Arabidopsis thaliana: one gene and its partner. The protein of the gene in region 2 interacts with the protein of the main gene of each other region in a pairwise test. Each region holds a gene or a part of one and is shown on either strand. Other genes may lie near its edges.

Region 1 (5,290 bases), on a different chromosome or scaffold from region 2:
AAGATAATCAGAGAGAAAGGTTGTTGTTTCTTTTAGAGCTCTCTGCAACGAAACAGATGATTTATAAGAAGATGAGGTGAAGAAAAATCAAAGAACACAGAGATTTCTCTCTAGAAATTTCCTTTTTCATTCTTTTTTTTTTGTCGTTTCCTTTTTCATTCTTAATTTCGAATTTTTCAGGTGAAAATAAAAAAGTAAAGAAAGCGTTTTAATATTTATTTCCTTTTTGTTTTAGGCAAAATATTGATATTAATAAAAAGAGGAATTTTCGATACGTTGCCTCGTTTTGCCTGATTCTAGTTGATTAAATATTAAATAATAATGTTTTTTAATAATATAAAATAAAATAAAAATTCTGACATATTTTCTCAGATCTCGTTCTATCAAATATTTTTCTTGAATTTATCACTATCAATAATTATTATTGAATATATCTATCTAAATCACAGACTAACTAGGAGCTAGATTATGAAACTCTATATATACACACACATAGGCAACAAATTCTCTCATCCTTCTCTTTGTCTAAAACCAACAAACAAATCTCTCAAACTTCTCTAACAATGTCTACGACCAAAGCATTATCGCTTCTTGTGTTTATACTCTTCGTGTCCCTTGTTCATTCATCGGATCAATGTCCTATCAACTCTATCTACCAATTCGGTGACTCCATCTCCGACACTGGAAACTTAATCCGCAACGGCCCTGTTGGAGCCAGATCTTCTCACGCCGCTAATTATCCATACGGTCAAACATACTTTCACCAAGCCACCGGTCGTCTATCTAACGGACTGCTAATGATCGATTACTTGGCACGCAGGCTTCATCTCCCACTCCTAAACCCTTACCTCAACGGGAACACAACGTCTTTGTTAACTTCGGAGTTTCCGGAAGCACAGCACTCAACAGCTCTTTCTTCTCCGAGAGAAATCTCCACGTTCCGGCAACAAACACTCCTCTCTCCATGCAGCTTGCTTGGTTCAAGGGTCATCTACGTTCCACGTGTCACGGCTCTTCTTCGGATTGCTTGAAGCACTCTCTTTTCATGGTCGGTGAGATAGGAGGCAACGACTACAACTACGGTTTCTTCCAAGGCAAACCAATGGAAGAAATCAGAAGCTACATCCCTCACGTGGTTGGAGCCATCACAGCCGCAGCTAGAGAGGTGATCCGTGCTGGTGCGGTTAACGTGGTCGTCCCGGGAAACTTTCCAGTGGGATGTTTTCCGATTTACTTGACGTCTTTTCCCGTGAAAGATACAAAAGATTACGACGACAACGGTTGCTTGACGCATCTCAACGAATTCGCAATGGATCACAATAACCAACTCCAAGAAGCTATAGCTTCTTTGAGAAAAGAGTTTCCAGACGTGGCTATAGTATACGGAGATTACTACAATGCGTTTCAATACGTTCTACGAAGTGAAAGATTCGACAAGAGTGTAGCTTTGAAATCGTGTTGCGGGACCGGTGGAGCTTACAACTACGACGGAAAGAGGCCATACGGAGCAGTGGGAGTTCCGGTGTGTCAGAATCCACACAAGTTCATAAGTTGGGACGGAGTGCACTTGACTCAAAAGGCTTATAGATTCATGTCTAAGTTCTTGAACAATCAGATTCTTTCACAGATCAAGTGTACTAGGGCTTAATTACGAGCGTTATTTTTTAGTCCCTCCTCGATTTTTTGTTAAGTTATAAATCTCTACTATTTGTAATAATATCTTACATCCTTAGATTTTATTGATTTTTTAAGATATGTTTTTTTTTTTTTTGAACAACAGATTTTTTAAAATATGTTAGCATCCTTTTTTACTTATGAAGATCATATAAATCGTAAGTCCAATTTCTACTAGACAATCTTATTTTAAATGCATACCTAACTGCAACCTCAAATTTCTCAATTGCATTAACAAAAGTGACAAATGACATTCCTAGAACAAAAGAAAACAATTATGTTCATGCCACAAAAGAGAAAAAAAAAAAAAGAACAATATTTCAGAATTTAATCTCGAATCGAATATAGAGAAAAACACAATTTGAAAGAAAGAAAAATCTTCGTCGCTTGTCAAAAAAAAAAAAAAACGAAATCTGTCCCGTAGTTTATAATTTTGACCGTTCGATTATCCCTTAAATCTTGTCCGTCGTCAGATGAAACCAGAGAGGGGATGTCAGAAAAAAAAAGGTTAAAAAGCAAATAGCATAACCGGTTCACATTTATTGTAGTAACAAATTGACCTAAACCCTAACGAAATCGTACCAAACATAAAAATAATGTAAATCAAATTAAAGCAATTCATCCAATCAGAATTCTGGATTTCCATCAATCCGAACCAAATTTAAACTGAACTGAACCCGGTTCAATCGCAACGAGATCCGGTTAGGAGAAAGTACTTGTCCCTTTATATTGTAGCATTGTATAACTTTAGTCTTGTGAAGAAACGTTTGCATCCCTTCTCTGCGTTCAGCGTTCGTCGTCACCAAGGTTCTTCTCTCTCCTCTTTTAGCTCTTGTATCTTCCAATTTCTTGACGTAATGCTAAGTCTTTTTTTCTACCTTAGTGATGAGTCTCGCTCTGTAATCGTTTCCTGTTCTTAAAAATCGTAACTTTGAAGCTTAGGGTTTCAGAAAAATTTCTGCGAAATTCTCCGACTTTTGTTCTTGTTCCTCATGGGTGTAACCAAAATAACATCTTTTGTGATTTTGCATGCGTTTTGGTAGATTCTCTTTGGAGATTTTAGGTTATTGAGTTTTCTCAATCCACTAGATACTTGAAATTGATTTGTGTTTCTTTGTAGCTTGTGGGTCTTTTGATTCTGTGTGGTTGTTTTGATTGTGTTGGATTTCTATTACTGATGAACAAAGAAACAGTGTCTGCAATGTCTTGTTCTGCCAGGTTAAAAACCAATTTGGGGATGACTTCTGCTCTGAGTACTCATGAGGTTCTTAACAGTAATGATACTATGTGTGAGATTCTTATCCTGCTTCCACCAGAAACGATATACAAGCTGATTTTGGTGTCCAAGAGATGGCTTGAGATTATAGCCAGCCCTTGCTTCCGTCACACTTACTTAGCCAAGTGGAAACCTAATTTTGAACTCATTGGCTTCTTCGTCTGCAGCTCAATGTACCTTGGAAGACGCATAGATGGAACTCGTCGCCCTCGCGCTGAGCCATCTCTTCCTTTGCTCTCAACCAGCAGTATTGGTGATGAAATTGAATCCTCTGGTATTCTGAAAAAGCTTGGATACTACATCGACTCTGCAGATGGTCTTCTACTCTGCGGCCGCCATCCAAAAGCTTACTACTTGTGGGATCCGAGTACACAGAAGCAGCAGCAACTTCCACGTCCCAGAGTTCATTTCGAAGAACTTTGTATGTCTTTGATTTCTGAGGATAGTCCTGATCAAGGGTTTAGCTACAAGGTGGTCCGGGCAGAGTGTGTAGCCTTTCCTGTTAACAGTACAAAGGTGAAGGTAGAGACTTTTTCCTCAAAAACTTCTACGTGGAGCTACTCAGAGCTTATTTGTCTCGAGCCTCTATCTCTCAGCCCGTGGACTCCAGGGAGAGTGATTAAAGGCGTTGTTTATTGGCATGCTAGAGGAGGTAAAATTGCCATATATGACTCAAACAGTGAGGAGAAACGGATTGATGTGATAAAGCTTCCGAAAACATATGACTATGATGAACAGGTTCTGGGAGAAACCGATGATGGGTCTTTACAATACGGATGGAGCAATAAGTCGGTAATGGAGGTATGGAAGCTTGAAAAGGTAGGCAATGTGCTTGAATGGAACCTGCTGTTTAAGGTGAATTTCAAGGCGATGTGGAAAATGAACCAAGCGGTAGCTACAAGATTCAGCACTTGGACTAAAGAAACGCAGCTGCTTGCGCTCTTCAATCAGAAGTCGGACTTGGTGTACATCAGATGTGATACACAAATCTTCATCTATCACACAGAGACTAAAAGGGTCGAAGTAGTTCAGTACCAAGGACGAAAATCGACACTCGTTTGGGATTTCAACAAAGTGGTGCCTTACTTTCGACGTACCTGGCCTTGTTCTCCTCTGTTTGAAAACAATGCCATGATGATCGACACTCCTCAATGCAACGCCTCTTCCGCAGGAAGTAACTAAGTAGTTTATGCTTTTAATCAGTTTATGTATGTAGGCTATTCAACTATCTTTTATGTTTTGATGCTGAAGGTTTTTGGTTTTGGCCATTGATGAACCTCTCATGGTTTTGATGTATTCTCTCATGGGTGTCATTAAAGACTCTGCCTTTTTGCATTTGCGTTTTGGATCTGCGTTTTGTGGTTGACTCCGTTTGTAGCTAATTTATGATAATTTACACATAGAACAAATGGTTCAATCTAACAAATTATAAAACAGATCAATTTATTTACACAGATAATCGATGTCACTTGTCTACATAGTTCTTAAGTTATAGGTTGATCCAAATAGTTTCAATATTATAAGTTGAATTAATGGGTCACTTGGAGAATGTCCACATTCTTTGAAATGTAATGACGAATGTTTGTTCTTTCAATTTTCTAAAAAACGAATAAACATAATAATAATTATAAAGTCATGTAGTGATCTAAGAAACAGATCATAGTTTCTCTCTATGTAATCTTAGGTACAGATAATAACTTTATGATCTCATTATTGGTACATTGATTTTTTTTCTATTTTCTTTTTGCTTGCAACCTTTTTCTTCCCTTTTATCTTTTTATGAATGATGAAAATGTTATGTTAAGATATTTGTAAAGATCATTGATTTGAATAAATAGAGACCCGTCTAAATATGCACCAACAATTCTGACTTCAAGTGAGATTTACATTTCAAAATTATGCATTATGCCTAGAAAAAAGATGATCACTAATATTGTTGGATTTGAAGGGAAAAAGAAGCTGGTGTTAAAAGAGTGGTGGGACATTATGACAACTCAAAAGGATCTTTAACTGTGTTGAGAAACTCCAATGCATTATTTATAAAGGCCTAAACAAAACCTATAGGTCGCTCTCTATATATGTTCATATCATATATATGGCTCACATGGCTCATCATTGTTTCAATGACATGATAACTAAAGTTGTAATGATCTACTCAACAACGAATTTTGGTCTATATGGACCACCACCATCAACTAATTTTTATTGATATTCATCCGATTACGAGATTTGTGAATCTTTGATAAATTTAGCTCATTATTATGAAACTTTTAAAGTAATAAATATGTGCATGTTTTGAGTTTCTACCAAGTTTGGGTGTTAAAACTCAGTTTCATAATT
Region 2 (3,820 bases):
TAACATTTTGTAACAAAAAGTAGTCTATTTTTGATTATTAAAATCTATATAAATTGTTAACCATAGATTGGAGAATCTTCTAATTAATATATATATATTAATATTTACGTAACAAGAGTGGTAATTTGTTTTGGAAGGTCTTGTTCCACCATGAACAACTTTGATATAGACATTGATATGATGATTCAATATTAGAATTATTGACAATAATGAACACTAATTATTATTAAAATTATTAAACTTGGAAGCAAAGTAAAGGGGTTGGCTCAACTTCCAAGCAACTCGAGAGAGAAAGAGATGAAATGCATGCGTCATGCAATTTTTATCAATTTGGAATTATAAACACGTCGCCTAACAAACATAATTAAGCCCTAACCATCTCACCTATTTTTTTCTTTCTTAAATCAAATTGTTTGAAAACCATGAAATATATTGATGTATCTTATTATCTTATACTGATTCACTAAATTTTAACATATGTTTTTAGAAGGAAAAAAGATATATTGTATTTTAGATAGTATTTTAGATCTGTTCCTTCTACGATTGTATATTTCTCTCTCATATAGAACTTTAGAGCATATGTGGATTTGGTGTCGAATGTTCTTTGGTCGATATCTCGGAACATGAAAAGGATTAGACTAAAATGTGATTGCTTGAATTAGCTTTTAGCCTTTGACAATTGACACTCACGGGATGTTTAGTATATTATGGGCTTTAAAGGGCCCGTAATAATTTATATATTCTTGCTAAATCGACCCATTGTGAAGCCTCTCTTAAAACTAATTTATAAATGTAGATAATGAAAATTATAGTTCAATGCATGCATACATAGCCACATATCCCATATGGATTATTATTATTTTATTTTATTTTAATTTTGGGTGCAAATCCCATATGTATTAATTTACATTAAATGTAATTAAATGCTTTCATACTTTTCACAAATAACTTTCTATGATAGAAAAATACCATTACATTATTTAGAAAATATGAAATGATTTAATTTATTACATTTAATGTAAAATAATACATATGCGATATGTGTAGGTATGCATTGAATTATCATTTCATTATGAATTTTCACTACGTGGCTAAAAGAAATCGTAAATGTTTAATTTTTTAACAGAGAGAAGCCCTAGGGCACATGTATTTTGATAAATTTCCAGTGCCCAAGTCTTCATCAAACGGTGGCGATGTACGCTATATTTTATACTGTTCCGCTGGCGAAAGAATTCAGAATCGCCAGAGGCTTTTTGGTTGGAAAGAATTAATTAACATTGGCATATATAAGTAAATATTGTTAAACATTATAACATGATGAAATACAAAAGGAAACCACAAACCATGAATTCAAAGAAACGAATGCAATCAACAAAGATTAAAGAACATCGAGATCAACACTTAGAAAACGGAACTTTATGGTTTTACTTTAGATCCTCAAAAGCCCAAGCGTTTTCCTTACGAATCGCGTCTTCTTCTTCAGGTGTGTAATCATTCTCAATGTTAAAGAGTTCTCGAACTTCCTCTGGCGACATATCTTTCATGTGATCTGCAACGGTCTGGCAAGTGAGACCAAGAAGATCTTGGACGTTGAGATAATTAACAGCGAGAATGAGTTTCATGACTGTTTCCATATCAAATTCTTTCATGAACTCTGCGTCCCAAGTCCTGAGCTCGTTCTTGGCTTCCTCGTTTACATTTTCGCTTGTTGCTTCAGTAGAATCATCACTATCATCAACATCATCAAGTACGTGTTTCTTGCAATACTCGATAACCAAAGCGAGGATATTTCCGGTGACGTTTTCAAGCGGGATTGCTTTATCGGCGCAGTCGTCATCGATCATGTGTGCTATGACCTTCAATTTACGAGCCACCGCTTCCTCAACCTCGAACGATTCATCATCCGAGCTAGTCAACACAATCTTGTTCGAAGACATTGTTTGTTTTGTTGTTTTGTTGATTTTTGAGAGATTTTATGGAAGAAATGAAATGAGAGAAATTGTTGAATAAAATTGATGAAGCTATGAAATAATGTCTCTCTTTTTATAATGAGTTGAGAGTGGGTCAAATCTTTAATTTAGGAAATATAGTAAGGAAAAATAAATATAACAAAATCCTACTATATAATTAATTGTTAGGCTCTTATATTTTCTTTTAATATTTGACCCATACATATACTACACACATGCTAATAAAATTATATTGATTAGATTTTATATAAGTTATACTAATATTGTAATTTAATATTTTAAAAATATTAACCATTATAGATAGGATTTCACCTAAAAGCAAAATTTAATTTTTGGTATCTCTTATCAACTCAATGTAAATATTAAATATAGTATAATATAGTGAGATTTTTTTATTTATAAGTTTTAGAAATAATTAATTTGATGACATGTACTTTGTTCTAAGATACTTACTTTTTCAACATTTAGCATTTTAGCAACAATTTTTTTTTTGTCAATAACTTTATTAGATTAATTTAAACAATCTAATTCTGAGGAATATTGTTTATATAAGTAATTAAATGTGGTTTAGATGTTTTGACTTTTTTATTATGGCAGTTATGTAGTGGCAGACTCATAACTTAATTTTACCGGGGTACTCCAAAACAGAAACGAGTTACCAGGAGCACTATGATGTCCAGGGCCGGCCCTGAGCTAAAGCTGGTGAAGCATGGGCTTTAGGCGCCAAACGGTATTAATGATTTAGAGGGCATCAATTTCCAAAAAGTTTTTCTGGCACAGTGGTTATGTTGCCTTTCAATTAGACGAGTTCGATATAGTCTACAGTTTTTGTGTATTTTTTTTTCTATTACTTGTTAATGGGCTAATTTTTTTTTTTGCTTTAGGCATCAAAGACAAGAACAAGTTCTCTAGAACTAAGCCATACGCTCCTTCTCTACGGAAATTAATTCATGAAACCAAAAGCTTGAAGAAATTCAGCATTATGAGCCCGTCTTTACGGAACGATGATTACCGAAGTTTTCTCAATCCTTTAAATCCATTTCCTCTGAATTCTGAGCTCATGTATATGACATTACACAACATCTGCGATTGGTGGTTTTTCTAGGATTATAAAGCAATCTTTAGTAATTCTTAAGGTGAGCAACTCTTTAGGCTCGACAAGCTCTTGATCAATTTGCAAACCTTTCAAAGTTTGAAGAATAACGGCATTTTGACTGCATCTCCAAGGAGAAGTAGTTACCGAATCTTCGACAATCTCTCTTATCCGGCAGCTTCTTCCGTGGAACGTTTTCTTAAAAGCTTGTATGCGTTGTTCGCTCGAGCCATCTATAACCACATGGTGGTCGAGGAATTTGTGAAGTCTGTCTTTATGGGCGAACCCAATTTTTGCTTCAACAGATTTTTTAATCTTTGCAAACTCTTTAAAGATGAGCATCTTTTTGAAAAACTCATGGAGCCATTATCTCTCCTCCTTTTGTGTTTTTTTCAGTTTCTATTTGTATGAACATCCCTCTTTTAGGTTTTAAGTAAATTAAAGTTGTTTGACAAAACAAAAAAGAAAGCCCATACGCTCCTATCTCTCTGCCTCTCTCTCTTTTTCTCTCGCTTTATGATGTTTTCTACGTAATAAGTGTTGATATGGGCCTTGGGACGCTTCATATGAGATTGGATAAGTTTTCAACAAAATTTACGACCAAAAAGATTGCATGGCAAAATTCAACTGAATAGTATTAATTTGCATATTAACATCCTCTCGCATGAATTTTCTTTCAGTATATCGTCCGTATATTTTAATATCATAAAATAATAAATCGCTCTAAGAAAATCTTAACCTCTCAATTATCAACCCG

Evidence for each region. Proteins that work in one complex are often made in the same cells at the same time.
Region 1: the proteins of SK16 (region 2) and AT5G03970 interact in a two-hybrid assay, tested with the Arabidopsis thaliana proteins (2 studies listed by BioGRID).

What each region holds. Positions count from the first base shown.
Region 1 is NC_003076.8:1,070,563-1,075,852, reverse strand, and holds AT5G03970 (F-box associated ubiquitination effector family protein), read left to right. Parts: upstream 1-2,363; 5' UTR 2,364-2,481; intron 2,482-2,867; 5' UTR 2,868-2,875; coding exon 2,876-4,132; 3' UTR 4,133-4,347; downstream 4,348-5,290. Other genes in the region: AT5G03980 (SGNH hydrolase-type esterase superfamily protein), read left to right, coding at 564-707, 821-1,648.
Region 2 is NC_003071.7:962,349-966,168, reverse strand, and holds SK16 (SKP1-like 16), read right to left. Parts: upstream 1,956-3,820; 5' UTR 1,938-1,955; coding exon 1,425-1,937; 3' UTR 1,268-1,424; downstream 1-1,267. Other genes in the region: AT2G03180 (uncharacterized protein), read right to left, coding at 3,043-3,405. UniProt on the Arabidopsis thaliana protein: Involved in ubiquitination and subsequent proteasomal degradation of target proteins. Together with CUL1, RBX1 and a F-box protein, it forms a SCF E3 ubiquitin ligase complex. The functional specificity of this complex depends on the type of F-box protein.